4 linked regions of the Tamandua tetradactyla genome follow. The protein of the gene in region 1 purifies or fractionates together with the protein of each later gene. This does not show direct contact. Links are inferred from orthologs where the notes say so. Each region holds a gene or a part of one and is shown in the gene's direction. Other genes may lie near its edges. The genes, in order: NCBP3, THOC7, THOC2 and THOC6.

Region 1 (7,821 bases):
GTATTTGTCCATCTGTGGAGGCTTCAGCTGGGTGAAGCTGGAGACCAGGTAGGGGACCAGGCCATTGGCTGCCGAGCCTGGCGATTAGTTATCCCATCACAGATGGAGACCAAAGCTGCTCCTGCCTGCTTCCCGGTCGTCCTGCGCAGGTCCCACGAGAGGTTGCCCAGGCTTTCTCCTGGAGAAGGACTGGTGGCCAGGCAGCAGTTCCCTAAACACCAGAGCCAAAAAGTGGGTCTCTTTCCTTCTTTGGCCTCTCAGTTTAAGACCACACCGTCTCTCACATCCTCCTGGTCTCCTGGCCTCTGTCCTGATTCCTTCTGATCCATCCTTTACCAGCTCCAGAGTGATCTTTCTGAAACACCCATCTGACCATGCAGCCCCCACCCCCACCCTCCACCCCAAGCCCCCCATGTGCTCCCCTGGGTCCTCAGCTTGGGTTCTGAGGCCCCTGCCATCTGGCTCCTCCAGCCTCTCGATGCCTCAGGGTTCGTGCTTCACCCACCCACACTCCATTCACTCTCCAGGCCTTTTCAGGCCCTCCATTCCTCCAGCACACTGCCTCCCCCCATCCCCACCTTCCCCCGTTCCTGCCTCTGTTTGTCCAAGCCTTCCCTTCCAAGGCCCGTTCTGCAGTTGTACAAATCCCTAGCATGGTTCACTGAAGCAGTCACCAAACTGTTGGGTCAACAGGCCAGATCGACATGCTTCAGGGCTTTGAAGAGGACCATGGGCCTTCAGTGACCCAGAACCTTCTGTTGATAGTCATTTCCCACTGGGACCCCCACCCAAGAAGCCGCATTGTGGTGGGGAAACTGAGGCCTGTAGAGCAGAGTCACACAGCGAGCCAGGGAAGGGCCGGCTAGAGCCCAGGTCCCCTGCCCACTCGTGTCTTCCCACCATAGCTCCACTCCAGTAAAACTGTGGACCCGACATAAAAGGAAGGACTCCTGGGAAATCAGAGCCGAGATGCACCTCCAGATGTGCCCACATAAGGGAGCCAAACCCAGCTCCACGGGTGCCCAGCAAAGGCTTGGGGGAAAGTGTGGGGTGTGACCTGGAAGGTCCTGGTTTCTCTCAGCGTCTCTGGGCTCTGGGTCCCATGGGCCCTTTGGGATCTCTGTTCTCGGCCACTTTCCCCACCTCCCACCTCCATCATCGTATGTGGTCTCAGCCTAGGGGAGGCGGGGGGTGGTCCAGGCCACTGAGGGTTCCAGCTTTCCCAGGCGATACCCAGACACAGAGTGGGACACATACAAACACCCTCAGATCCTGGAGTCACCCCCACCACACCCAGGTGGGCACACGTGCAGGAGCTCCTCCCCGGGGTAGACACAAGCAGGCCTGTCTGCAGGGCTGCCCTCTGCGGGCGGGTGGTACTGGGCCCTGTGGGTCCGCCGGAGCCTGGGAAGACACCAAGGGGGTCTCACCTGGGGAGCAGAGCCCTGGTGTGTGCGGATTCCTCCACCGCTCCAGCTTCCAGCAGGACCAGACCTCTGAGGCCCCCAGGCCACTCCGTTCCAGGCTTAAAAGCCACCCCCCCTCCACTCTCCAGTCTCCCACCAACAGCAGCCCCTGCTCACACTGAAGAGGCGCCAGGATGAGTCCTAAGGGACTGTTACTTTGGGGGAGGAGGAAGAACCCCTCAACAGCGCCAGAGCTGGAGCGGCTTGAGGAAAGAGGAAAACCAGGTCATTGTGTGTGTGGTTTTAAGAACCAGGGAATGGCCACCAGTGACCGTGGTGCCCAGTGGCCCACGGAGGTGAGGGAAATGTGGAAAGTGAGCGAAGACAGTCATTTCAAGAGTTTGTGGCAGGGATGGGGGGCACGGATACAGCTCAGCCCCCAGGGTTAGCTGCTTCCCCATCTTTATCTGCCATCCTGCACGTGTTCCCAGGATCTTAGATGTGAACTGGAGGGTGGGAGGTGGGATTGTGTGTTGCAGGTTGAAAACCGCATTGTAGACCATCTCTGCCTTCGTGGGCAGTGAAACCCACTTCCAGTCTTCATACGGCATCCATTGTCACCTTTGGAGCTTATATTACCTTTTAATGGCTTCTCCCTTTCTTACCTCAGGAATGGCAGGGTTCAGTTGATTTTATTTCCTTCCTCTCTGGATGGGGAGAGAGAGAGTGGTCAATTTCATTTTTTTTTAAAAAGTAATCTTTCTGAAGGCCCAGCTGATACCCTTCCCCTTCCCCCAACTTTATAACAACTTTGTGCCTCATTCATCAAGCAAAATTAGGTCTCTGAAGGGCTTCATCCTGTGTTTACCCTACGGCTTAGCCCAAATTTGAGAAGCACCCCTTCTATGGATCTATATCTACATGCAATTACCACATTTAATCCTCACACTCTCCATTGGAGGTAGATAATACTGTCCCCTTTTGCCAAGGAAGGAACTGAGTCTCCAAGGTCACACGTGGGCAAGCCTCCCCTTCACAAACTTCTCAGAAAAGTTGTCTGTTTTTCTCGCCTGCCTTCCCCTTCATGGGCATTGTCCGCTCCTGGTAACCTGTGGACAACAGACCACTGGACTCAAGCCAAGTTCCGTTGTGAACTTGAGGTGGCCTTGACATTGATGGCTCTGGTTTTTTTTGAACCCTCTCTCCAGTCTACCCCAATGTCCCACTCTCCTGGTTTCTTCTGCTTATAAAAATCATCCAAACTTTGGAATAGGAAAAAGGATTTCTGGATGTCCTCTCATTGTAGTGCTGAGTGTTTTCTGACATGCCTATTCCATGTGGGGATTATCTGATTTTCCAGGGATGAGTCCCTTCTTTGACTTCCTATTTGCTGTGATTAGGGCATTTTTACAACTCCCTAAGGGTAGAGGTTAATTTATAGAAAATTCATAGCAAGTGATGTAAATGTTTCCGTCTGGTAAAAAAAGGAACCTAGTAGGGCATTAATCTGTCTTGTTAAATTCACTTTGGCATTCTTTTGACCAGCTCCATAAATATCCAGTGCTCAAATTCTCTTTCGAGCTAGTCTTAATATCTCACTAGTGAGCTGAATACAAGCTTTGACATACGTTCATTTTATATTTGTATGAGAGTCATATTTTTAACTTTTTGAAAATTATTCTTTACCACCTCCTAATTCTCCACGGCCACACCTCAGCAGGCTGCACTGAGAGCAGGAGGGATGGGGGTGGGGTGGGGGAGTGGATGTTGTGGTTAGGTGACCAAAAAGGGAAAGGCACAAAGACCTTTCCCGAGGGGCGCTTTAGGAGCCCTGCTGTTTGATTGCCTGATGCCCGGGTTTGTCCTGGATTCTTGATTTACTTGCCTACTAGAGCTCCCCCTGGGGGCCAAACTGCACTGTGCCAGTGCCAGATTCCTCACTGAATTGAATTCTCAAGCAGCCAGGCTTTTCCAGCAGGGAGAGGGACCAGCCCCGCCTTCTCTGCTGGCCTCCTGGTGTCCATAGCTGAAGAGAGATTGTCCCTCCTCTTCTCGCCCCCAGCAGCCTAGAATGCAAATGTAAAGGTGGCCCCATAACTGTCAAACAATGCTGATCACCCCAAGCACAAATTTTCTTTGAACTGTTCTTTAAAATTCACACAAATTTTGCATTCTATCCATTTCATGCCTTTAGATTCAACCCAACTTTCTAACGACTTTGTGTCTCATTCAACAAGCAAAATTAGGTCTCTGAGAAGCTCCATTCTATGTTTGTCCCATGGCTTAGCCCAAAGTTAAGAAAGACCAAATTTAAGAAGCACCCCTTCTGTTGGATCTGTATCTATGTATAATTATCACATTTAATCCTCACAATCTCTGTTGGAGGTGGATAATACTGTCCCCTTTTACCCAGGAAGGAACTGGGTTTCCAAAGGATTGAGTGGCTTGCCCAAGGTCACACATGGTGTGAGGGGCAGAGCCAGTCAGCCCCAACCCAGCTGTGACTGGTGCTGATCACAAGTGCCCTTGATTTAGAATTATTTGTTCCTCCAAGATCAGAGAGGGAAGGGCCCGGAGACCCTAGGGTGCTCACTTACTCTCTCCTCAGATGGGAAAACATGCCCAGAAACTGGCTGGAACCTTCCCAAGCAAGGAAGTTGCAAAGCCGGTATCCAAAGCAAAAAATCAGTGGCGCTGACTGGAAGCCTAGAGAATACCCCCTCCTGCAACCCGGCTCTTTTTAGAAATGTGTGCACGGAAACTACGCTCAGAGGTGTGCAGTAAGTACATCAAGCCCTCAGGAGTCAGGCAATTGAGGTTCAAGCTCTGGCCTTTGGCTAGGCCACTACCTTCATGGAGTCTTAACTTTTGTGTATGTAAAACGGGCTAATTTCGGGGAGACTTGAAAGAGACAAAGGTGGGCAAGGCATATATGGATTGCACAGTGGGGATGGAACAAATGTCATTTTAGGCTCTGCAGCCACACTACCTAGGCCCCGATCCAGGTTTTACCCTCTAATAACCTGTCAGGAAATGGCTATTTTCTATGCCTCGGTTTCCTCACATGTGAAATGGGGATAATAATAGGACCTACTTTGTAGGGTTGTTGTAAAGATTCAAGCGCTTAGAACAATGTCAGGCACAAAGTGACCACTCAGTAAAGTTAGCTTTTAAAAAATCCCAGACTACGAGTCTTCAGGCCCCGCCCCCTCAGCAGGTCCTGCTCCCTCCTCACCAGGTCCCGCCCCAGCCTGCCCCAGGTTCCTCCCACCACCAGGTAGCGACCGCGCTGAGGGCCGGCCTCTGGACGAAGCAAGTGACACTCTAGGTAGCGGCGGTGGCTCCTCTGTGGCCGGTGGTGGCGGCGCTCTAGCCGGCGGTTGTGCTGGGCGGGTGCTCAGTGGTGCGGCCGGCGGGCGGCGATGGCGGCCGTACGGGGCCTGCGAGTGTCGGTGAAGGCTGAGGCCCCGGTGGCGCCGGCTCTGGGGCTGCCGTCGCCTGAGGCCGAGCCCGATTTGGAGCGTGGAGAGCCGGAGCCCATGGAGGTGGAGGAGGGCGAACTGGAGATCGTGCCGGTGCGGCGCTCGCTGAAGGAACTGATCCCGGTACCGGCGGGGGGCGGGGGTCGAGGGGGAGGTCGCAGAGGGAATGGTGGCGCCCGAGGGGGCCGGAAGGGGAGGCGGCCGGCTCCCGGGCGGAGAGAAGCCGAGGGAGGGGAAGCGAGGAGAGCGAGCGCCGGGGGGGAGGGGCAGGGGCGCCAGGTTTGAGGGGAGTGGGGGCGCTAGAGAAAGGACTCCAGTGCGGCCGGAAATGGGTGTTGGGGGGCTGGAGGAGGTGGGACAGAGCTAGGGAGTTGTTGTGGACACCCCCTTAGCTACCTCTCCGAGCCAACGAGTAGGAGCTGGAATTGTCTGTGGGAGCTTCAGATTAATGGGGACCCCGGGGCGAGAACAGAACCTGGAGCGGCCCAGAAGGGACTTTTGGGTGGCACCGACATTCAGGTCTCCCCGTGGGTCCTGGCTCTGGTGTAGTTAAAAATGGCACTCTGTCTCTCTCTTGGGAGGGTTGGATTTGTCAGCAGCAGAGACTCACTGTGTTTTCTATTGTGACTTGAGGGTCATTTTGCCTCAGGGCAGTTCCACTGCTGTGTAGAACCCACACCGCAGCCCCAGCATCTGATCCTTAATGAAACTGAAGTATCGGGACCATTAGTGCTCTTTGGATCCTTTTTATCTCATGGGGATAGTGAGAAAGGTGTTTTGCTTGTGGTTTGGTAGTTATATGCCCGGTTCTTACTGCTGGTCTTAGCTCTGGGTGGCTCTTACCCAGTACTTGATTTCTAAGCTAACAGGAGCTACTTTTAATCACATTTCAGCAAGTCTTGCTTTTAAACTGAAGTTATGGAAAAAAGTCAAGATGGAATCACTAGAGATAAACACTAGGGCTTATAGGGTAACTACAATTAACATAATAGCATTTTGCTTTTCACTACATTGTATCGTTTAAATTTCCCTGTAGTTGTGAAGTAGGTTTTAGCATCCCTTCAGTCATTCAATTCACCTGTGTATTTATTGCATTCTCAACTATGTGCTAGGCACTGTCCTAGGTGCCTGGTCAAGATCAAACTCCCTCCTGATTGGGGAATACACATAATAAACAAGTAAACAAATAATTTCTGATAATGGTAGGTGCTGTGAAGAAAATAAATCATGATAGGGTGGTGCAGCTGTGGCTCAGTGGCAGAATTCTCGCCTGCTATGCTGGAGACCTGGGTTCGATTCCCAGAGCCTGCCCATACCAAAAAAAGAAAAAAAATAAAAGGAAATAAATCATGATAATGGGATAGAGAGTGCAGGGGTTGAGGGTGGGGTGTGGAAAGTGGGAAGTAGAATATGATAAGATGGTCAGGGAAGCACTCTGAGATAGTGACAATAAACTGTACTGTAAATGAACCAGCCATGTACAGATTTGGAAGGGAGCATTTCTGGGCAAGGAATGAGGGGCATCAAGTGCAAAGGTTTTGAGATGGGAACAAGGTTGCTTTGTTGGAGAAATGGAAACTTCTGTGGTACAAATGGGAGAGTAGAAACACCTTAGGAAGATAGGCAGATACCATGGAGGAAATCGAGGCCCAGACAGGTCAAAAGAATGATACAATGTCAGTGTCAGTTGATGGAGTTACTTAAAGTTTTGGATAAGCTCTGATCTAGAAAGAACGCTTTAGAGTGGTTGATTACTAACCTTGATGTCACAGGGACAGGCTTCCTCATAAGGGGATGTCTGGGGTTGGGGAGGGGTTGCTGGAAAGAATGACTATCTGAAAGGAATCTGTTGTTTGGCATTCTTTTATCATGGGTATTTTTCTCAGTTGCTGTCAGCGTTTCTTACCCTTCTCTTTTGTATTAGGACACAAGTAGAAGATACGAAAACAAGGCTGGCAGCTTCATCACCGGAATCGATGTTACCTCTAAGGTAAGACAGAACATGATTTATTTATTCAGTTTGATAAGTGAGTGTACTTGAACTTGATTCTTAGGACATGCAGAGCAGTAATTATTCTTTACCTCATTTTTTGTGTGTTATTGGATTAATTTTTTTTAAATTTGTGTTACACACCGTGGCCCTTTTACAGCCTGCACACCTCCAGCGTTATTTGTGTTATCATACCCACAAAAAGATAAAACCACTATAGCTAGATGCTTGTGCATAACCATTTCGAAGAAAAAGTTCTGCACTGGGAATGCTTTTTTATGCCATGTTCTTTCTTTAAGAATGTATTCTGTTTCCATTTTAAATAAAACAAAACATGAAAAGTGTCTGCCTTTGTTGTCGACCCTTAGTAAATGTCTTTATTCATCACTGGCTGCAGGCTTAGAAAGATGGGCTTCATGATTGTGTGACTGTCTAACCTTAGATTCTGAGGGTATTCTCAAAATAACTATAAGTATTGCCTTTTATTGGTGTTTGCTGTAAACTAAATTACCAGCAGCTCAGAGAGACAAACCTGTTATTTTCCTTATCATAAACGGTAGATACCTATTTGTTGCTTTGATCAGTCGTATTCAGCTTAGCCATTTTTTCTGTTTTGATGTGTGCAATTGAGGTAGGAACAGAATCAGAATAGCATTCTGAATAATAGTACTGTATTGCTATACGCTATGCATAAAAGCAAAAATAAAAATTAAATATGTCATGCTTATCTACTTATATTTCATCCCAGTCTCAATCAGTCTCGGATTGCTTAAAGGCCAAAAAAAGAGCAAGCAGAAAGTAGAATAAAGTGAAAATGTTTTCTCATTGTCATGGAAAAAGAAGACTGTACTGTTTTTAATTCTGTACAGTTTGTCATTGTATGGGAAAAGATTGGTAGCTCGAGTTGGTGCTTAAGTCTACCAAAGGAAGGTAGATTAGTTGT
Region 2 (6,913 bases), on another chromosome or scaffold:
GGACAGCAAAAAGAGAATGAAGGTGAATGAATCATTTTTTTTCAAGGCTAATTTTGGACTCAAGTTTCTGCTTATCCACTATACATCTATCTACTCTGAAATTTTAAATATAATTACACACAACCACAATACACTCAGGACAAGCTGGGCACGCCAGCTTCCCCTGCATGTGGATACCAGTCTTATCAACTGATAGACAACACTTTACCATGGGAACAAACTGGAAGGCTTTTGCACTTCTAGGACCATATGACTTGGCTGAAGACAACTTTAAAAGGCAAATACTGAAAGGGGAAAAGAAGTGTAACAAATAAGGATTCAGTGGCTGAGAATTCAAATGGAGTTGAGAGGCTACACGGGAGGTCACCCTTAAGCATGCTTCAGTTAGAAATTGGTACCTATCATAACTTGCCAACCCCCTACCAAAACCATTCCTGCTAATCCTAAAGAATACCTAGAGCATTAAATAAGATTCTACAAAGGTACCATGCACTATAGTGACTCTCAAAACCTACAGCCTCCAGATGGGTTCCTGGACCAGATGAGTCCTGAAATGCAGAGGAGCCAACCCTTTCAGAACATCAACTAGTTCCATCCCCCATACCACATTATTGACAGCCCCTTCCAACATGAAAAAGTTAGAATGTAACCCTAACAAGTACTCCTAAAGAGAGGGAGAAAGATCAGAGGTGATGGTGGGGTTTAACAAATCAGTATGAGTGCTGAATCATTATACTGATATTTCTTTTAGCCTCTAGTACCTTAGAGCAGCTAGAAATAAAAACCTAAAATTGTGGAATTGTAACCCATACCAAACTCTGAAATCTGTTCTACAACTAACTGTTGTGATGTATTTTGAAATTCATTGCTTTTATGTATATATGTTACTTAAAGAGAAGGAGTATAACAGAGAAGATAGGATTTAACAAATGAGTAGGACTGCTGAATCATACTGATATTTCTGCTGGTCTCCAGTGTCTTAGAGCAGCTAGAAGAAAAAACCCGAAAAATCGTGGAACTGTAACCCATACCAAACTTTAAAATCTGTTCTATAATTACTTGTTAAAATGTACTTGGAAATTTATTGCTTTTTTGTATATATATTTCACAATTAAAAATTTAACATGACAGGGAAAAAAAGGCAAATACTGGGCACAAAGATCTACTTTTTTTTACTTCTTTTCTTCAAAGAATGATTGTTTTAACTCCCATTTCATTTAATAAAAAGACATTTCAAACTTTTTTGGGCCTTGGACCTCCTGTAGACCCATTCTCCAGAAAAATATATATACACAAAAAGTTTTTATCCCAATTACAGGGAATTCAGGAATCCCCTGAAGCCTATTCACGAACCCCTGGGGATCCATAGATCCCAGGATAACCCTTACTCTAAAGGCACGTTACAAAAACATCTATATTGTTTTACAGGTCCAGGGTAAAGACCACATAGGTAGCTCTCTCGTCATTCTTTGTACTTTCTGACGGCAAATATTAAACCAGCACTCAAATTAACTTCCTGACTACTTTCTCACACTCTCAAAGAAACCAAGAATCTAGTGATATAAGTAGATCATGAAATCTACGGTGATACAAGTTCGAAGCGCAAATCAGTTTTGTTAATAAATTAAAATCTACTTCCATTTCGTTATCTCTGCCCAGAGAAGCCTCCCTAGAAAAGATACATTAGTATGGGATAGATCTTGAGTCCTTCCTACCTCAACATTGAGTTATGTAAAGTCGGTTAATTCATAACCGATAATATGAAAAGGCCACTTCTAAAATTTCCTAGTTGTTCCCTCACTATATATGATGTGAAGGAAGGGCAATTACAAAAGGTCTTAAATGGTCAAAACAAAGCTCTGTGTCCATACATCTATGAGTTAAGTTATGTGGCTGACAAAACAGGTAGTTAAAAATTCATAACAGTTCAAATTATGATGTGCTTCCCACTACGTGAGTCAAGAACTTTCAAGAATATTTATTTTCAGAAATACCTCAAACTTCAGTCTCTCCAATTAATCTCGTTACTTTAGAAAATTACTAACACTATTCAACAAAATTATAAGCCACAAAATGAACTTATAAATGTTTGACCAGGACTCCATCTACAAATGACTGGTTCACGAAATATTAACAGTTACAGGAAACAAGTGATATGTTCCTATAAAAACATTAAAGATTATTTTAAATCTCTAGATAATGTTTCAAAATCAGTATTATGATCAGATCAAGTAACAAGTCACTTAAAATTTAACACATTATAACACCATTTGACAATTACCTTTTCAACAATAACCATCATTAAAATGCCACTCAGGACAGACAGATAGTCAACTGACACTTCCAATTTACAGTCTGTAGTACTTAAGATTTCAAACAAGCTATTCTGTGGGTTAGCATGTCCTCTCTCCTAAAATCAAAGAACTGAACAGACTTACGCCAATTATTATTTAAAGCCAGAGGTTTCACATCCTAACGGTCAAGTTAAAACCTCAGAATCTTCACTCAATGTAATTCTTGCCTTTGTGCCAAAAGTTGAAGGCCCTAACTCTTGAGAGCATTATAAATGGCATTACTGAAGTTTCTGGCCTGAAATACATGAAAAAAATGTTACATATACTGATTTCTACCTAGAGGTAAAAGGCACTTCACTGCCATACATTTGCATTTAACGATTCTTCCTTTTCGAAAAAACTGAGGGGAAATGAAGAGTATGAATCCAACTTTAGTAAGGAAAGGAAACAGCAAAATTTATCCTGCGCCAACTGCTTCATCCTCAGATAAAGAGACAGGGAGCTTGGGAGGTAAGAATATTGGAAAATAATGATATGGCTTATTTAACATGTCAAACCTGGGTTCAAAACTCAGACATGCTTCTTGTGGTTAACTGTTCTCTATTCCACTGGAGGTCAAGAATCCGCTTTATCGGTGCCTGTTCCCTGACCGGCCTCTCTCACCAAGTAAATGTTGGAATTTACCGCAAACTCATTCAAGTTGAATCAAAGTGACTCTGGGAAGAGATGTCAGTATAATTTGCCGTGTACTCCGGAAATGTCTAACTCTACACACAAGGCAATATTTCTCATTGACACTCCCCCTACCCCTACACTTAAAACTTCCCCCTTAAGACGAGGACAGCCAGCGAGACAATTTTTTGAAAATTAAAGAAAATATAAATAAATAAATACATGCACCCTATCCAGATCACCGACGAGATTCTGGCTCTGTTGCGGAACTGCGTGCGGGTGCGGGATGGCAACCACGCAACGATCCTAGTCAGTCGGCAGAACTCCTCCGGAGGACAAGTTTCTCCGTCCTTTTTCCCAGCACCGGCCCGAGCCCAGGGAGGAAAGGGGTTGCAGCAGGGACCCGACCGCCCTACCTGGAACCCTGGGCCTTTCGTGATCTCCAGCCGCGCCCGGTGCAATCCCTACGCTTGAGACCCGCCCGGGCGTGCGTGGGCGCCAACTTCGGCGAGACCCTCGCGCCGCGCCCCCCTCGGTGCCTCGCCCAGCTCCAGCGCTCCCCGTCCCGCCGCCCTCCCCACCTCACCCCAGGAAGCGAGCGCACCCCCCGCAACAGCCTGGACGGGGTGGGGGAAGCAGGGTCCACTTCTCCCAGAATGCTAGAGGGGCCGCACCCCGACCCCAGTAGTCCCGGCGCGCCCCCGCAGCCCGGGCGGCGCCCGGACTGGCTCACCTGGCGGCTGGCTGCGGCCTCCGGAGCGGCCTCTGGGCGTGGGCCGGGAGGGGGCAGAGAGGGGGGCGGCGGGGGCTGGGACTCCAGCCGGGGCCGCCGCCGCCCGCCTGGCCTAGCCCGCACACGCGCCGGCCGCGGCAGCTCCCGGGGGGTACCGGGAGCGCGGGGAGCGCGGGTCCCGCGGCGGCGGCGGCGCGGCTCAGGCGTCGGAGCTGGCGGCCGCAGGCGCCGCCGCCTCCTCCTCCATGGCTGTTTACCCGGCTGCATTGTGGGAGTTTGACCTCCGCCGCCGCCAACCGCCGCCTCAGCTTGCGCCGCCGCCGCCGCCGCCGCCGCCGCCGCCGCGCACGCCATGGGAGCCGTGACTGACGGTGAGGCCGGTTCGCCACCACCTGGGCCCACTCCCCGGAGTCCTTCGGTCTCCGTGGCCGCTTCCGGGAGTTCTTCGGCCTCCCGGGTCGGACCCCTCGGAGACCCTGGCCTCCAGGCCTCTCCCCGGAGCCTCTCGGCCTGATCTCCCCGGAGGCGGCGCCGGGCGTGAAGAGGGTGTGCTGGGAAGGTCGTCGGGGGATAAGAGTACACATGGGGGCCGAGGAGGCTGGGAGCTGTGTGTGGGCTGGTGGTACCGGGTGGGGTCCGGGTTGAAGAAGGATGTGGTAAGGGAGCATTGACGGGGTAAGGTAGGTTCACGGAGCGCCGAAGTGGAGGGTGGAGGGAGTTGGTGAAAGGCTTGATACCACGGGTCCCGGAAGGCCTGTGGGGGGAATGGGAGGATGTGGGAGCTCCAGGGATAGGGCGGGGGCTTCTGGGCAACCTGGGAAAGAGGGGTGGGTTCCAGGTCATGGGTATTAGGGACGTCTGGATACAGAGGGTGACACGTGGAGGAAGGAGTTTTCTGGGCAGATCGGAACGGCCCCCAGACAATGGATCGCAATGAGATCTGGGAACTGCATGTGAATTTGGGGTGGAGAGGGGGAGATGGGAACATCAGCTAAAAGGGATATGTGAATGGAATATCTGGAGGGCAATCAGGGAATACTTGGGAGCTATGAGAGGCAAACAGCAGATATACAGATGAGGGCACCTACGGTAGATCAGGATAGTAAAGGATGTATGTGTGTCTTGGAGAGGGGAGGTTTGCCAGCTGAATGGATGTGGTGGGGGAGGCAGAGGCTGGGTTCGTGGACAGTTGTGAGGGCAATTTAGGAAAGTGGATCAATTTAAGACGGATCCGGGGGCCATCTACACAGGGAGAGCAGAAATAAGGTAGCACCTTGGGAAAGAGTTGAAACAGGTATGGTGGGCAACTGGGTGGAGCACTCTGGAAGGTATCTGGTTATGGTAGTCCTTTGACATGTGGGATGGGAAATCAGGGGGCCTTTTTAAGGGGACTTAGAAAGGCCCCTTCTGAAAAGTTGGGTACAGTTTAAGGGGCTAGCAATAGAAAGAAGAATGATGAACCCAAATTTGTAGACATTGTAGAGAGTGGTGGAAGTGGGGGGGGCTATGAAAGGTTCAGGAACTTCATGAGGGAGTTTCAACTTTGCTTCTTTTCACTTTCATTTATTCAGTAGATATTTATCCTGCTTGGGCTAGGCTTTAAGATTACAGCCAGAACCAAGAGGCAAGACCTTTTCCCCCTCTTAGAGGTTACATTCAAGTGGGAAAGACATGTGGAATGATTTTTTGGGGGGGAATGGGGGGAGCTGCATGGTCCAGGGATCAAACCTGGGTCTCCCACATGAGATGTGAGCATTCTAACCACTGAACTACCCATGCACCCAGACACATGGAATAATTTTTAAAGGTGGTAAATGTTACTACAGGAGAAGTACAAAATTCGGAAGTATAGAAGCATGTAACAAAAATTGCTTATCCATTCTGGAACATCAGAAAGTCCCTCTCAAAAAGTTATTCTTCATCCCACTGTTAAAGGATAAATACATGTAGTTGGGGGAAAGTGTTCCAGGTGGGGAACCACTTGTGCACAAGCCCCCAAAGTGTTGGAAGAACACCACAATTACTTGTAATGGCCAGAATTTAGAAGCCGTAAAAGTTTTTACACTGGAGTAGTGTGATCAGATTTGCATTTTGTAAAACAACACTCCACTATGAAGAATGGTGAAGGCAAGGGAAAGTGAGGAGCTAAATTAACTCTGTCCTCTCTAACATTTATATAGTATTCATTCCATGTGCCAAGCAGTGTTCTAATTATTTTTCCCACTTTACAAATGAAACTGGGACACAAAGAGGCTATAACTTGCCCAAGGTCACTGGTAGTAAGTTATAGAGCCAGGATTCAAAACTACATAGTCCAGCTCCTGAGTTCTTGCACTTCACTGTTATGTATCCTGTCTTGTAGCTACTGGCAAGAGGTCATGGGGACACAGGCCAAGATAGTCATCAAGGAAATGCAAAGAATTTACAGGTGGGACAGATATTTATGAGGTAGAAGTCAGGACTTAAGTGATCGGGTGGGTGTGAGGGGAGGAGTCAAGGATGACCCCAGTTTCTAGCTTGAGTAATTGTGTGCTTGTTAGTGTTACTTCTCTCTTGAGGTAGAGAACTGCAAAGGAGAGATAGGTTTCGTCAGACAGAAGGGGAGGGAAGATGAATTCTAGTAAACATGCTGAAGCTGTCAAGTACCCCCCACCTTCTTGGAGGCAACAGGAATCCCCCACTCTGCCACTTCCAGGTAGTCTGGCTGTGGGCACGTTAATTAACCTCTGAGCCTTAGTTTCATTTTCTGTGAATGGGGATAAAAAAAAATCTGTCTCTTAAAGTTGTTTGAGGATTAAATGCAGTAAAAACTGTAAACGGCTTTCCATGGAGTTTTATTGAACATTACTATTATTGAACAATAATAGTAATGTTCAATTAATGTTATTAAATATAAGAATTGGTTTATTTATCTCTCCTTCCACTTTCCTTTGATGAGAACTGTGCCTTCTCCGTCTCCTTGTCTGCACAGATTGCCCTCCCCTGCCTTTTCTGCCTGGTGAAATTCCATTTATTCTTCAAGACCCACCTCAGATATCCCCTCTTCTCTTTTCCAGAACCCGTTGGTTTCTTACCTACTAACTACATTACTTTATGAATATTACTATTATGAACTTCCATCCTTAATTTACTGACATGCCTTATTCCAGAAAATATTTAAAGTAGAGCACCATAATGAGGAAACATAAAAGCAACATAAATGGATGAGGAAGCA
Region 3 (7,571 bases), on another chromosome or scaffold:
CCTCCAAAGAGGAAGCTGGAGAACTCAGAGAAGACCGAGATTATGTCCTGGGGGAGTTGGGTCAGAGTCCCCAGATTTCTAGATATACAGAGTTGCATGAGGACATAGGAGAGGATAACAATGAAGCAAGCAAGAACGAAGGTGAAAACACATGGCCAAGCCTTCTGGTCAATAGCCATGACTCACTAGTCTAGATGGTCAGAGAGGAGAAGTGTTTCCTGGCTGGCTTGCCCAAAGATCTTGCCGGTGTTGAATTCATAGGTTCTTGGGTGTGCCAAAAGAAAGAATTTTAGGGGCACAGCACAGATCTAGCAAGCAGGTAGAAAATTTAAGTACACATGCAAGAAGGCATGTGGGTGTTCTTGCAAGAAAAGAGGCCAGAGGCCAGGGCAGGTCTTAACAAAACCAAGAACATATCCTCTCTATCACCAACCCTACTAGCAGACAACCTACTGCCTATGCATAGGGCTCGATTCAGATCCCCTTACCAGTTCTCTGTGCGCAACTCCTAGTCTGTATGATTTTATTTTAAAGGCTATCAACTTCAACCTTTTTCAGTGGACTGTCCTTAAGTTACTAGAGCCACTTCTTGCCATAAATGTGTGGACACCTGGAAGTGCCTAGGAGTTTATGTTTCTCCCGCAGTAGTCTGTATTCACTGACAGACAGGTGCAAGAGTATGAAAGCCTAACTTTCTTGCTCAAGCTAGACAAATTTTGAGTAATTTATGCTTCAGTTTTCTTCGTGGGATTAGGCAGAGCTTGTAACTTCATTTACAAGCATACCCTTGCTTGGCTTCATCACTTCCCTATACTGTTTTCCCCAGTTCCTTACCTGTCTTTTCTACTGGAAGCATGCAAGTCCTCATTTCAGGGTCTGCTTCTGTGGAACCAGACCTAAGATAGGGCTTAGCACACCATCAGACTGTCCCTTATCCAATCAAGGGCCTAAGCACAGAATCTAACCAACAATCTGGGCATAGTACACATAGAGAAAGGCCATATTTAACTATGGTTCATATACCACTGCCTAGCATCCCACTAGATGGGCCTGCTATGATCATGCAAATAATAATAGCTAATATTTATTGAGCTTTAACTGTGTGCTGGGGGCTCTTCTAAGGATGCATTACCACATATTATCTCATTTATTCTCACAACAGCCCTATGGAAAAGGTACAGTTAAAGGGGAACTATCCTTCCCCACTTCTGATGTTTCCTTTTCAGTAGGGTTGTGATCCCTGCTCCCTTCACTCTCTGCCTCCCTTCACTTCTGCCTCCCTTCGCTCTCTGCCTCCTTAATTTCTCCACTCTTACTTCTACTTCCCTCCTTCAGGAAGTGTGACTTACTTCATGGGTCCTCATGGAAGAAGAGACTGGGTATGTGTAGCCTGGCACCTACCTTTGTATTTCATCTTGGGAAGAGAGCAGATGTTGGTTTAGAACTTGGGCAAGTAAGACGAGTGTGAGTCATTGGGTGACTCCAATCTCAACAGATACTATTAACTTCATTTGACAAAGGATAAAACCAAGCATAGAGAAGTTAATAAGTAACAGAACCTGGGTTCAAACCCAGACAATGCAGAGTTAAGAACGTGGGCTCTGGAATGCTTGGGTTTGAAGTGGGAGAAAATAGGAAAATCAATTGGAAAGGAGAACACCAATGAAAAGCTAAGAGGAGGCAATGAGAGTCCTTATAAATGAGGTGTTGTTCTTACCTAGCCAACAGGTAGTACTAACACATCCCAGTTACCAAACTGGTCATTTCTGCCCCGTGACTTTGACAAGCTGCTACTTCTGGATTACCCCCTCTGATGCCCCCCCCACCTCCTCTTTGGAATTCCAGTTTGAACTTGAAGACCTATCTCTAGCACATGACACAAATAATGAAAGGGCATTTTTCTCTACAGAGGGGCAGTTCAGCCAGAATGGAACCAAGTAGATTGGTTTGGAATAAACAGCCTTAGCATAAAATGCAGAAGTTATCAAGTAGCTTATTCAAAGAACTTTTCTTCATTTGGGATCTTGGAAAACCTTTTGCGTTCATTCTTCTATCATTTTAATTGTTTTTTCTTGTTTTGCTTTTATACGCCTCCTTCTTGGTCCCATTATCTGTTTTCACTGAGATGATGAATAACAAGATTGCTTAGCCTTACAATTACCTAAAACTAACCTATGACTCCATGCATTAGACTGTCAACATTGAGATTACCCAATCCCGAGTCAGCACCCCAGATCTTAGTCCCTGCCTAGTACACTGCTACTTATGAGCCAGTGAGATCACCAGAGAACAGTACTCCCAGCTGTTGAGACAATACCAGGTACTGACAACAAAGAATAGCCAAACCAAAAACAAGAATGCAAAAGACATGATAGTTTTGCAATGTTATAGAGCAAAAAGCCAATTAGCTCTGAGGAATTTCTAATGGAATCATGATGCTATGTAAAAATAGTTCTGCAGTTTCTGGGAGAAGGGAAAACCAAGGCTGGGATGTTTAAAAAGCTTCCAAGGGTATCATTGCACTCAGATCATAGCACATTCCTGGTATACCGAGAAGTATGCATACTGCACTGTTCAGTAGTAAGAAGGAGAAATCATTGTGATACAGTAGCAAGGGAGGCTACAATAGAACAGAAAACTGTAGCTCAGTGAATCTCAACAGCAGTTGATTTCGCCTTCCAGGAGAGATTTGACTATGTCTGGAGACACTGTTGTGGTAACAACTGGTGCTGGTGGCAGCAGGTGTGTTTGTGCATGTGTGTATGTGTGTGCACGAACTACTGAATCTTGGGATAGAGGCCAGGGATACTGTTAAACAGCCTACAATGCACAGGATACCTTCACCTCCTTCCACGCAAAGAATTATCTGTCCCATAATGTCATTAGTGCCCCATTTGAGAAACTCTGCTGTAAATCATACAGTGAATTATACATAAAGAGTAAAAGTGTTCATTTTATCACAGAACTTACACTGTAATGATTTAAAAATTTCCTACAGAGGGTGATGGTACATGTGGGTTCACTATACCATTCCGTTTACTTTGTATGTATTTCAAAATTTCAATGATAATGAAAAGTGAAAAGATCAGAGGGCACTCGTATCTCTGACACTCATAGAAATGGCAATTGTTTTTATGAGCAAATGTCACTGAAACAGAATGGTGTATATTTTCCAGTGGATGGCTTTAAAATTTCAAAGCCAGACAAGATATTGTGACACTAGGTATTGCTGGTGAAAACAATGATTCAACATGTTAGCATTTTCCCAGAACCCATTCTGAAATCAACCTATCCTCTGAACAGTTTTTCAATGCAAACAAACCTGGTCCATTTGGCAAAACTTGCCAAATTTAGAAGACACTAGTTCTAAAGTTCTTTCAGTAACAAAGATACTAGTTCTAAAGTCCTTTCAGTAATATATGTGTGTAGGATTCCTTCTTTTGGTTTGTCTCTAATTTCTAAATTTTCTGCTAAACTGTTTTTTAACTTTTTATTGTAAAATAAACACATTTTTAAAACCTTTTTATTTGGAAATAAATAGGCAATTACATAAATTTACATAATGGATATAATTATTAATATATAATATTTTATCTTAGATTTTTAATCTTAAAATTTCGACTTTAAATTTTAATGATTATATAAACCATTATAATTTATATTAGTCTTTTTCTTTGACAGTTCTCAAGAGTGCAAGTCAGTTACTTTGTAAACTTTCCTTCAATTTGGACTTTTCAGATGTTTTTCTTCCTGATTAAGAGTCATATTATGCAAATTGCTGGCCTGAACACTGCAAAATTAACTAGTGTTTTTGCTAGCAGCTCATCAGGAGACACATGATGTAGTTTTGTCTCATTTCTGGGGATGCTTTCATCATATGATTAGGAAGTGTCCGCAATGTTTTCCCACTGAAAAGTTTCTGTTTCGCCCTTTGAAGTAATAAGTATCTTGGATTATGTAATGTAAATAATTTGTTTCTCATCCTACTTGCGCCCCCTAGTTTTGTCTAAGGTACAAATGATAGCAGTAAACAGGATGTCAGAACTCAAAGCCTACTGTGCTTCCCAGGGCCGATTCTCTTTTCTACACTAGATTGTAACTTTTATATTAGCATGTCTGGCACATAGCAAATGCCTCCCCAATTAGTTTGTTTCTTTTATCCCAGCAGGGGTATGGTAATTCATCTGCTTGTATGTCTGTCTATGTCACAAACTGTGAGCTCCTTGAGGGTAGGCATCATGGCTTAATTCTCTGTCCCCAGTGTCTAGCAAATATTAGTGAATTACTGGTCAGTTGTAGCTATTCCAGAAGAGAAGGGCTACGAGTCGACTGGGGGATGGCATTTTTCTGATCTAAACGGAAGCGACTGCAAGGGTTGCGAAGAGCGCAGCCGGCGTGAGCACTTTGCAAAGAGGCCCACTGGGTTCGGCCATTTGGTTAGCGGCCGGGACGGTTACTGCCGGGTGGGGAGAAAGGTGGGGCGGGAAATAGAAAACCTAAGTCCCAGCTTCCGGCATTCCTCGTGGGCGGTACTCCCCTTTGACCCGTCGCGCGCGTGCTACACATCCGGGCCTCCGCTATTAGCGAAGGGAAGATGGCGACGGCAACTGTGGTCGTTCCCGCAGAGTGGATAAAGAACTGGGAGAAATCAGGGAGAGGCGAATTGTGAGTGTCCGGGTTGGAGGCGAGTGCTTGGTCGGGCCGGGTTCAGGCAGCAGCCTTGCTCTCTTCTGCGGCAGTTGGGGAGGAAGATGCGCCCCCTCCCCCACCCGGGCGGCGGGTGTGGATGGTTAACTAGGAGTTTCGAACTCGGGGAGGAGAGGTGCTCTCAACCGCCGCCGACCTCCTTCTTTCCCTGGCCTCCACGAAATCCCCGCTTCTCGCTGTAGGCTGGCTTCCTTTGGCCTCTTCGCAGGACTCCATTTCGCCCCTGCGGGTCCCGGCGCTCCTGCCCGGTCTTTTTTTGTCCCCCTCTTTGCCTGAGCTCACTTGGCTCCTTTCTCTTTACCGGGGGTGGGGTGCTGGGGTTCAGACTTTTCAGCTCTTTCTGTCCCATTTCTTCACTCTGCCTCCGTTCGACTCCGCAGTTTGGAGCCCGGAGCCTCCTCTGCCCGAAGTCCGAGGAGGGCGAAACGTCCCGGACTCCCTCCCCTCTTCTCCGTTCGCCGCCGCGAAACCCCAGGCTTCGCGAAGAGCCCTGCTTGGCACTTCTCGTCCTCCCGGGGAGCGGTCTCCCGGACTGTCCCGGCCTCCCGTGGCCCTGGACTGCCGCTTTCCTTGAAGACCTACTGACATTTCTTTGCTCCGTCTTTTCACCTTAGAGCCTTTTCGGGTTGGATTCAACTTTCGTCATTAAACGTTTCTTAAACCCCATTTTGTCCTGGGACTGCAATTAATTTTGGCAACTCTCTACACTTCTCCAGTACCTAGGATATCGCTTTTCCTTGAGTCATAAAACTTAATTCTCCCCCCAGTAAGACGGAAAACAAAAATTGACTATACCCATTGCGTCCTCACCCACATTTTCAGCTCGCGCTTTCTCCCTTTCTCCCCGTCTCTCTCTTTCTTGCTCGCTCTCTCGGAAAGAAAAATAGTTTAAACAGCAAAACAAACCTCAGATTTAAAGAAAAATAACTTCGTTTTAATTTCCTTCACTGAATCTCTTAAAAGGTATACCTCAATCCCGTGTGGAATTAACTTGTTAGCCATTTTTGTTGTGGTTGTCTCCACCCTCTTCCATTAGCCAGTTTACCGTTGCTGGTCAAAAGATAAGAATCTTTGGAACTTTATTTCTTGGAACGAAACGCGAGGAACACGTTGCTCGATCTTACGCGCTAATATTGCCAGCCTGTATACTACCCCCCCCCCCCCCCCCCCCCCGCACTGCTTTGCGGAGTCTTAACAGCATGAGCTTTAGAAATGGATTTCCTGAGTAAGCAGCCTTTGTAACTTAACTAGCTGAGTGACCTTGGGTAAGTTCCTTAACCACTTTTAAGTTTCTTCTTGAGTAAATTGGGAGTTACAGTACCCTACTCAAAGGATTGTTGTGAAGACTGAATAATGCCTGTAAAACCCTTAGCATATAGTAAGTGTTAATGTGATGGGTCTTAACAGTTAATATATTGTTGCAACCTATAGATACTTAAACTTCTACAGATAGCTTTTGCACTTAGTCTGTACCACGCAGGTCTCTGACTTTTTCATGTGTAGTTACTCCAGTCTAATGAATGAGAGGTCTTTGAAGTATAGGGACTATCTCTCATATTTGATGCTCCCCTAGCCTCTTCAGCTCATGCTTAGAGCACTTACTGCTGTTATTAATGATAGAGAAATCCATTTGCTAAACATTTGTTTTTAACTGTTAGGGACATTTTCCAAATCCTTGTGCAGGTCAGTCAACAAAAACCAAATCATCATCTTCACCTATATTAAATTAGAATAAGCCAAAAGACTGATAAATCGTTTCAGTATTTTTTTCTTCTTTTACTTTTAAGCCAACTCTGTTGTTTAGGGGCTCTCTGTACATAACTCAGCCTCCTCCTTCCTGCTGCTCTTTTTGACAGTTTTATTATTGTTCCCACTTTAGAATGAAGGGCATTAGGGCTAGAACATGAAATTAAGAACCTTCTGCTTGGCTTCTCACTGGCAGTGATTGAGGAAAAACAAAGTGATGTAGGAGGTCAAAATATTTAGTCAAAATGCAATTTTGGATTCACTTTATGTATATTTACGTGATCCATGCTAGAGTTGCTTAAAAATTGTTATTAGGACTTACATGTATATAGTTATTGTATGACTTTTGGAAAGTGATTTGAATTAATAGTACGTGCAAATCAGTATGGTCTAAAGAGCATTGAAAGTTCTTGGTTGTGTAACGTAGTGAAAGAGTTTTTTTTTTAACTTTTATTAATTAAAAAATTAACAAACAAAACATTTAGATATCATTCCATTCTACATATATAATCAGTAATTCTTAATATCATCACATAGTTGCATAGTCATCATTTCTTAGTACATTTGCATCGATTTATAAAAAGAAATAAAAAGACAACAGAAAAAGAAATAAAATGATAATAGAGAAAAAAAGACTATACATACCATACCCCTTACCCCTCGCTTTCATTTACCACTAGCATTTCAAACTGAATTTATTTTAACATTTGTTCCCCCTATTATTTATTTTTATTCCATATGTTCTACTCTTATGCTGATATAGTAGCTAAAAGGAGCATCAGACACAAGGTTTTCACATTCACAGAGTCTCATTGTGAAAGCTGTATCATTGTTCAATCATCATCAAGAAACATGGCTACTGGAACACAGCACTACATTTTCAGGCAATTCCCTGCAGCCTCTCCACTACATCTTGAACAACAAGGTGATATCTACTTAATGCGTAACAATAACCTCCAGGATAACCTCTCCACTCTGTTTGAAATCTCTCAGCCATTGACACTTTGTCTCATTTTACTCTTCCCCCTTTTTTGGTCAAGAAGTTTCTCTCAATTCCTTGATGTTAATTCTCAGCTCATTCTAGGGTTTTTCTCAGTCCCTTGATGCTGAGTCTCAGC
Region 4 (6,833 bases), on another chromosome or scaffold:
GCAGGCGGTGTTTGCTGATCGACTGTCTAAGCGCGGCGCGTGGGGCGGGGCGCCTGGAGCCCGGCGGGCGCGGGCGGGGCGCTGGCCGGAGACTCCGCCCCGGAAGGCGGGGGCGGGGCGGGGCGGCGGCGGCTGCGAGGCCCCGCCGGCGGGCGGCGGGAGCAGACGGCGGCGGCCGCGGGACGCGCACCATGGCTAGGTACTCGCTGCACCGGCTGCTGCGGCTCCTCGTGCTGGGACTCGGGCTCGCGCTGCTGGGTGCGGCGGCCGGGGAGCAGGCGCCAGGTATGCCGGGCGCGGGGCCGGGCTGGCGGGAGTGGGGCCCGGGATCCGGAAGCCGGGATCCGGGGCCAGGCAGGACCGGGCAGAACCCGGGGACCAGGCGGACGTGGAGGGGATCCGGGACCAGGTGATCACTAAGCACCGCGCGCCCTGGCTGGGGGAGGTTCCATCCCCGTCCCGAACTCCATCAGCAGTACCGGCCTCAGTTTCCCCGCCTGGGAGAGCGGGGGGGAGGGTTCGGTTCTGAAAGTCGGGACTCGAAGAGGAAAGTTTGGGGGCGGGATGTCTCCTGCGGAAAGGGAGCACGCCCCCGGCCTGGCGGTCCCTAGGGGGTCGGCCCGGTCCCAGTGACGAAAGAGGGGGGCGGTCGAGAGCCATGGGGGTCTGTGCGCCCCTATGCCATGTGGGGGTGCCCCCTTCCGTCCGGTGACTTCAGGGCCTAGCTATGCGGGGGGAGGGGCTGGGGTCGGGCCCAGCGCCCGGGAGTGACTCACCCGCCGCCGGGGGTGGGGGTTGTGGGGGACCTGACCCCCCCCAGCGGCCCGCGCCGCGGCTCCCCCTTCCCACTGCCGCCGTGTCCCGGTCGGGCCGTGCGGTCACCTGTGAGGAATGCGACGGGGGGAGAACGCCGGTGACTCACGTTATTCGAGCCGGCGGACCCTGACCTCAGCCCCCAGAATAGCCGCGGCCCGCCTCCAGCCTCTGACCCGCGCCCCCTCCCCAGGCGCCGCCCCCTGCTCGCGCGGCAGCTCCTGGAGCGCGGACCTCGACAAGTGCATGGACTGCGCGTCGTGTCCCGCGCGGCCGCACAGCGACTTCTGCCTGGGCTGTGAGTGGGGGGCGGGGCCGGTGACGGGGGGGTCCCCGGAGTGGGGGAGGGGTGCCGGGGAGGACGGGGCGGAGGCCTTCGGAATTGGAGGCCGAACTGACCGGGGAGAGGTGGGAGTGGGGAAGGGGCTCTGAGCAAGGAGGGGCGGCGATCGGTGAAAAGTGTGAGGTGCAGGTCGAGGGGAGGGCTGGGGCGCGAGGTGACACGGGGGGAGGGGGGCGCGGTCTGACCAGGCCCCGCCCCCAGGCGCGGCGGCCCCTCCGGCCCCCTTCCGGCTGCTGTGGCCCATCCTGGGGGGCGCCCTGAGCCTGGTGCTCGTGCTGGGGCTGCTTTCCGGCTTCCTGGTCTGGAGACGGTGCCGCAGGAGAGAGAAATTCACCAGTGAGTGTGCCCTGTCCCTCCCCGCCCGAGCCCCTGCGCCCCGCGGTCTTACCCCGTCTCACCACAGCCCCTCTTTTCTTGCAGCCCCCATCGAGGAGACCGGCGGGGAGGGCTGCCCCGGCGTGGCGTTGATCCAATGAGAGTGACACCCCTGCCAGCCCGGGCCGCGCGCGGCCATCATTCATTTCACTCATTCATTCTGGAGCCAGCCCCCACCCTACCCCCCCAATGGGGGAAGGGGCGGCCGACAGGTTGGGGGAGGTGCCACCTCTCCAAGGCCTGAGGCCGGGGGTCACTGAGGCCTTTTGAGGTGTCTGATGGCCTTGTCTTTGGCTCCAGGACAGAAAAGCTCCATCCTGGCTTACCCAGGACAGCCGACACTAAGGACCTGCAGCATTTGCACACGGGGAGGGAGCGCCCCCATCCCGTACCCTGGGGGGGCCTGGCTGGCTTGAGGGGCACATACAACACTAGGCCCACCCTACGCGGACGTATGAAGCTCCACCACGGGGTCTCAGCCGCGGGCTTAGGGACCTCTGTTCTTGACACTAGGGGCTGGCCCTCTAGGGGGGCTGGCTCTAGGACACTGCCCCCACCAGCCCCCAAGGGAGGGGAGATATTTATTCGGGGGGGGGAGCGTGTGTGCGGGGGACGATAGAATTTATTAATAAAAGAATCTTTAACTTTAAATGGGTCGGAGAGTGGAGAGTGGCATGATCCTCGGGCTGGCTCCGGCACCAGAGGGAGGCGGTGGGGGTGAGTCAGCCGGCGCGGGGGCGGGGGCGGGGCTCTGACTCAGGCATTCTCAATGCCTGAGCCCTGCCTGCCAGGGGCTGGCCGGCGGGCCCGTTTTCCAGGGATGATCTTGAGAGAAACCCCAGCATCCCGCGTGCCAGCCACCCCCACCCCTCCCCAAAGTTCTGGGCTGCCAGAATGAAGCCTTCGTTTCCTCGTTTCCTCGGTAGTCTTTATTCAGTTCTCCTGGGCCGGAAATGCCTCCTTCCCGGTTCTCCTGCCCCTCCCAGCCCAGGGCTCCACGGGGCTCCACAGGGCTCAGGGACTGTGTTGGGGGGACAATCCTGGTGCCCAGAGGCTTGGCCTGGCCTGGAGGGGGGCAAGCAAGGCTGTTGGTCCTTTCAGGGGGAGCACTCAGAACTCCATTCCGTCTCCAGAAGGGGTAGCAGGATAGTGGGGGCTGGGGGTGCCCCCCAACCTCAGCAGCCGCAGAGCTTCAGGAATCAGGTTCCCAGGATAGCGCCAGAGAAGCAGCTCAGAGCAAGGGCTCCTGAAAGAGGAAGTTACAGTGTCAGGGCATGGGGCAGAGGCTGACCTAGAAGAGCCCCCTCCCACCAAGCCCTGGTCCCCAGGGGCCTGTGGCACCTTCCAAGGAGCAGAAACAGACACAGTGATCAGCTAGGAGCTAAAAATAGCAGAATGAGGCAAGGCCTGGAGGTTGACTCTGAGGACGGGGTTTGATCCCGCACGAGGGCCAGCCTTTGGGATTGCCTACCTGAGTGGGGTCAGGGCTGGGGGAAATGTCATGGGGGGGCTGCAGTAGGGGTGGTCATTGTGCAGGCTGAGTCGAGAGAAGTGGGTGGCCATGTTCTCCTCGGACAGGAACTGCTTGCGCAGGGGCTCCCTGGGGGAAAGAACGGGGAGCACGTGGGCTGGGGTACAGGGAGGAGAGGCGGCCTGATGGCCTGAGGAGGCAGAGACCTTGCTGGGAGTGCCTCCCTGACCCAGGACTCACGGCTCCTCCTCCAGGCGCCGCTTGGTGCTCATGGGCATAGATCGGAGAGGGGAGCTGAGAAGAGAAGAGAGCCTGGTGCACCCCATCCTCCCGGCCCCATCTCGAGGAGCGGCCCACCTGAGTCTGCAGCGTCAGCCAGGAACCCCGAGCCCCATCTCTCGCCAGAGCTGACACCCAAGTCACTTCCCTCTCCCGGGCCATCCAGCAGGGAGGTCTCGGCCCTGGGTCCCCCAACTCCTTCCTCGCCTCAGCTCATGCCCAAGCCCCGCGAGCTCCCCCCGCCGCGAGTCCTTCAGCAGCCCAGCCCTGAGCCCCCAGCCAAAGCCCCGGTGCTCCCAGGCCAGGCCCGCCCCGGGCCCCCCCACACACACCTGGCATCCAGGCTCCGAGTCTCCCCCGAGGCGGCCCGCAGGTCGCGCCGGGCCCGACCAGGGGGGCCTCGCTCCAGTGGCTGCTGCAGAATCATCGGGGCTCGGGGGTTTCGCGTGCCGGGGGGGGGGGGCCGACCCTCCGAGGGCGTGGCCAACGCGAGAGGCGTGGCTTTGGGCGCGCGAGGCGGCGAGGTTCCGCGCAGGCGCGGGTGTCCGGCGGTGCGCGGCTGGCTGGCGGGCCTGCTCGGCCGGTGGGGGAGGGGGTCCGGCGTGGCGGGACTGCGGTGGGTGCCACGCGGTGCCGCGAAGCTTTCCGGCGCTCACCTCGGCTCCCGGGGCTTGGGGCGGTGCACGGCGGCCGCCTTCGCGCTGAGCGGGCAGAGGTTGGGGCGGTGGGGCGCGCGGAGAGCAGCCGCTCACGGGCACGTCCGGTCTCGGGAGGCCGCGTAGTGCTCGAGGTGCTCTGGGACTTGTAGTCTTCGAGATGGAGCGGGCCGCGCCGCACGCGGTGCCGCTCGGTCAGGTGAGGCGGGCGCGGGGCCTCCTGGGGTTTGTAGTCCAGGCCTGATTCGGACGGGGCGGGCGAGGAATCGCGTCCTGGACGGGGCTGTTTGTTGGACTGGAATTCGCACCCGGGGGTTCGGGGCGAAGAGGAACCTGTTAGTGCTGCGGAAGGGCGTGTAGAGGGGGCGCACCTAGCATGGCAGTCATGTTTGGGGGGCGAGTTAGAAGTCGGTGTGTTATTATACTGCTGCATCTCGGGTTATTTCCCTGGAACCAGAAAATAACTGCCGCAATCCATTAGTTAATAATGGCTGTATGGGGGTCATTTATTGCTTAGTGTAGATAAAATATAATGCTATGGCTTAATATACGTAAAGTCTTTGCATGATACCTAGTACCCAGTTTGCTCTCACTAATATCATTTACCTGATATTTTGCAGTTTGTTGTCTGGTCTTCTAGATGTTGAGATATCCCCAAGTGCCTTTAATCTTCTACAGAACTCCCTAGTCTTTTTGTAGTAATTTACATTTGAGAGGTGGGCAGGCAACGGTCGCTCAGTGGCAGAGTTCTCGCCTGCCATGCTGGAGACCCGGGTTCGATTCCCGGTGCCTGCCCATGCAAAAAAAAAAAAAAAGAATTGAGAGCTGCCTTTCACTGTGGTGTGAAAACATCAACACTGTATTTTTTTATTGCATTAGTGAATAGATGTTGAATTTACTTTCCATTGTGATCAAAGAATGCTTTTATTTTAGAAAACTATTAAAAAGGAATTCCTAAGCAAGCTTATTCTCTTTAGTGACCCCTTTAAACAAAGATCAAACAAAAAACCCTTCTCTCTAAACCAGTTTTTCGTCATTGTGATAAGCATATGTATATGTGTAACTAAATTATCACTCAACTATATAAAAAAATTATTTCTAACCAAAGAAAAAAAAAGTCAGTGTGTTTTCCTGTGGTGGTAACAGCCCCTTTTAAGCACTTTCTGTGTGGCAGTGTCTTATATACGTCAGCTCCTCTTATCGTGACAAAACCTCCCATGAGTCCCATTCGACACTTTTGTGGAAATCCAGAGGAGAGACAGGCTGGGGCGTGCTCAGGGTCCCACTGGGCTGCACACCTGACCCTTCCTAACTCACCTCTTGGAGCTGGCCTCCGGGCCCTCTGGGCAGGTGCCCTCTTGGAGGGTTGGGTCCCTGGAGGGCCGAGAAGCGTGGGCAGGGGGCTGCTGGGCTAGTGGAGGTCCCAGAGGGCCTCAGCCAGCTTCTGCCCACAGGTGGAAGTGTTTCAGGCCCTGCAGCGACTCCACATGACCATCTTCTCCCAAAGCGTCTCGCCCTGCGGGAAGTTCCTGGCGGCTGGCAATAATTACGGGCAGATCGCCATCTTCAGGTACCCACGACCCCTGTACCCCAGCACCTGTTCACCCTGGCATGTGGCCTTACTGGGACTGGTTCCCCACACCTCTGGCTCTCTGGGTTCCCTCCCCTCTTCCCTTCAGCTTGTCGGCTGCTTTGAGCTCAGAAGCTAAAGAGGAAAGTAAGAAGCCAGTGGTGACCTTCCAAGGTGGGTGCAGCTGCCGGCTCTGGCTTTGGGGACCCCAGGGTGGAGGGGGTAGCAGGATAGGGTCACTGAGGTTTTGCATCTCCCTCTAGCCCATGATGGGCCCATCTACAGCATGGTCTCCACTGATCGACATCTGCTCAGTGCTGGGGATGGGGAGGTAAAGGCCTGGTTTTGGGCCGAGATCCTCAAAAAGGTGAGCATGAGGCTGGGGAAGGGCTGGGGTGACCAACCCCAGAGAGGGCCTCTTAGGTCACCTGGTGTTTTCCCGCCATAAAGGGCTGCAAGGAGCTGTGGCATCGTCAGCCCCCCTACAGGTGAGCCAGGTCAATGGGGCGGGGGTGAGTGCGGGCACAAAGGTACCGCCTGTCAAAGGTGACCACTTTTCCTCTCCCAGGACCAGCCTGGAGGTGCCCGAGATCAATGCGTTGCTGCTTGTCCCCAAGGTCTGAGGCCCTTCAGCCCGCTCTGACCCTTCGCCCTGCCCTGTTCTTGGCCCCAGCTTTGATCCTTTGCCCTATCTCTGCCCTGACTTGTGATTGGCTTCCGGCCCCGCCCTGCCTTCCTCTGCAGGAGAATTCCCTCATCTTGGCTGGGGGAGACTGCCAGCTGCACACTATGGACCTTGAAACCGGGACTTTTACGGTAAGCTGGGCTCGGGGGGGGGGGGGGGGGGGGGGGGCCTCTTCCCGGGCCTGCCCTGACGTGGTCGTCTCCGGGCAGCGGGCCCTCCGGGGCCACACAGACTACATCCACTGCCTGGCGCTACGGGAGAGGAGCCCCGAGGTGCTGTCGGGTGGCGAGGATGGGGCTGTGCGGCTTTGGGGTAAGGAGGTGGCTGGGTGGAGGGAGAGATGGGGGCGCGCTGGGGTGAGGACGGCGCCTGTCACTGTTCTCTCTGCATAGACCTCCGCATGCCCAAGGAAGTGCAGACCATCGAGGTGTACAAGCATGAGGTGAGGGCACGTGTCCCGCGCCCCCCCACCCTCCCTGTCCCCAGGCACCCCCTAGGTCTTCACCCCTCGCCCCCTTCCTTCCCAGGAGTGCGCCAGACCCCACAACGGGCGCTGGATTGGGTGCCTGGCCACCGACTCCGACTGGATGGTGAGTGGGGCCCAGTGCAGCATCGGGCAGGGGGTGAGGGGACGGCTGTGG

The links.
Region 2: the proteins of NCBP3 (region 1) and THOC7 purify together in Homo sapiens (co-immunoprecipitation; 3 studies listed by BioGRID and IntAct, with this or other methods). This does not show direct contact. The link is inferred for Tamandua tetradactyla from reciprocal best matches to the Homo sapiens genes NCBP3 and THOC7.
Region 3: the proteins of NCBP3 (region 1) and THOC2 purify together in Homo sapiens (co-immunoprecipitation; 3 studies listed by BioGRID and IntAct, with this or other methods). This does not show direct contact. The link is inferred for Tamandua tetradactyla from reciprocal best matches to the Homo sapiens genes NCBP3 and THOC2.
Region 4: the proteins of NCBP3 (region 1) and THOC6 purify together in Homo sapiens (co-immunoprecipitation; 3 studies listed by BioGRID and IntAct, with this or other methods). This does not show direct contact. The link is inferred for Tamandua tetradactyla from reciprocal best matches to the Homo sapiens genes NCBP3 and THOC6.

The regions. Positions count from the first base shown.
Region 1 is NC_135332.1:57,853,456-57,861,276, reverse strand, and holds the start of NCBP3 (nuclear cap-binding protein subunit 3), read left to right. Parts: upstream 1-4,807; 5' UTR 4,808-4,828; coding exon 4,829-5,011; intron 5,012-6,812; coding exon 6,813-6,878; intron 6,879-7,821. UniProt on the Homo sapiens protein: Associates with NCBP1/CBP80 to form an alternative cap-binding complex (CBC) which plays a key role in mRNA export. NCBP3 serves as adapter protein linking the capped RNAs (m7GpppG-capped RNA) to NCBP1/CBP80.
Region 2 is NC_135341.1:20,808,265-20,815,177, forward strand, and holds the start of THOC7 (THO complex subunit 7), read left to right. Parts: upstream 1-3,907; 5' UTR 3,908-4,051; coding exon 4,052-4,070; intron 4,071-4,098; exon of another isoform or gene 4,099-4,245; intron 4,246-6,848; exon of another isoform or gene 6,849-6,913. UniProt on the Homo sapiens protein: Component of the THO subcomplex of the TREX complex which is thought to couple mRNA transcription, processing and nuclear export, and which specifically associates with spliced mRNA and not with unspliced pre-mRNA.
Region 3 is NC_135353.1:41,986,750-41,994,320, forward strand, and holds the start of THOC2 (THO complex subunit 2), read left to right. Parts: upstream 1-4,551; 5' UTR 4,552-4,594; coding exon 4,595-4,665; intron 4,666-7,571. UniProt on the Homo sapiens protein: Component of the THO subcomplex of the TREX complex which is thought to couple mRNA transcription, processing and nuclear export, and which specifically associates with spliced mRNA and not with unspliced pre-mRNA.
Region 4 is NC_135349.1:54,444,654-54,451,486, reverse strand, and holds the start of THOC6 (THO complex subunit 6), read left to right. Parts: upstream 1-3,826; 5' UTR 3,827-4,097; coding exon 4,098-4,136; intron 4,137-5,391; coding exon 5,392-5,507; intron 5,508-5,616; coding exon 5,617-5,681; intron 5,682-5,770; coding exon 5,771-5,874; intron 5,875-5,957; coding exon 5,958-5,995; intron 5,996-6,075; coding exon 6,076-6,124; intron 6,125-6,251; coding exon 6,252-6,323; intron 6,324-6,401; coding exon 6,402-6,504; intron 6,505-6,584; coding exon 6,585-6,634; intron 6,635-6,719; coding exon 6,720-6,782; intron 6,783-6,833. Other genes in the region: TNFRSF12A (tumor necrosis factor receptor superfamily member 12A), read left to right, coding at 192-285, 1,007-1,111, 1,358-1,492, 1,577-1,632; HCFC1R1 (host cell factor C1 regulator 1), read right to left, coding at 2,642-2,777, 3,003-3,131, 3,243-3,296, 3,614-3,708. UniProt on the Homo sapiens protein: Component of the THO subcomplex of the TREX complex which is thought to couple mRNA transcription, processing and nuclear export, and which specifically associates with spliced mRNA and not with unspliced pre-mRNA.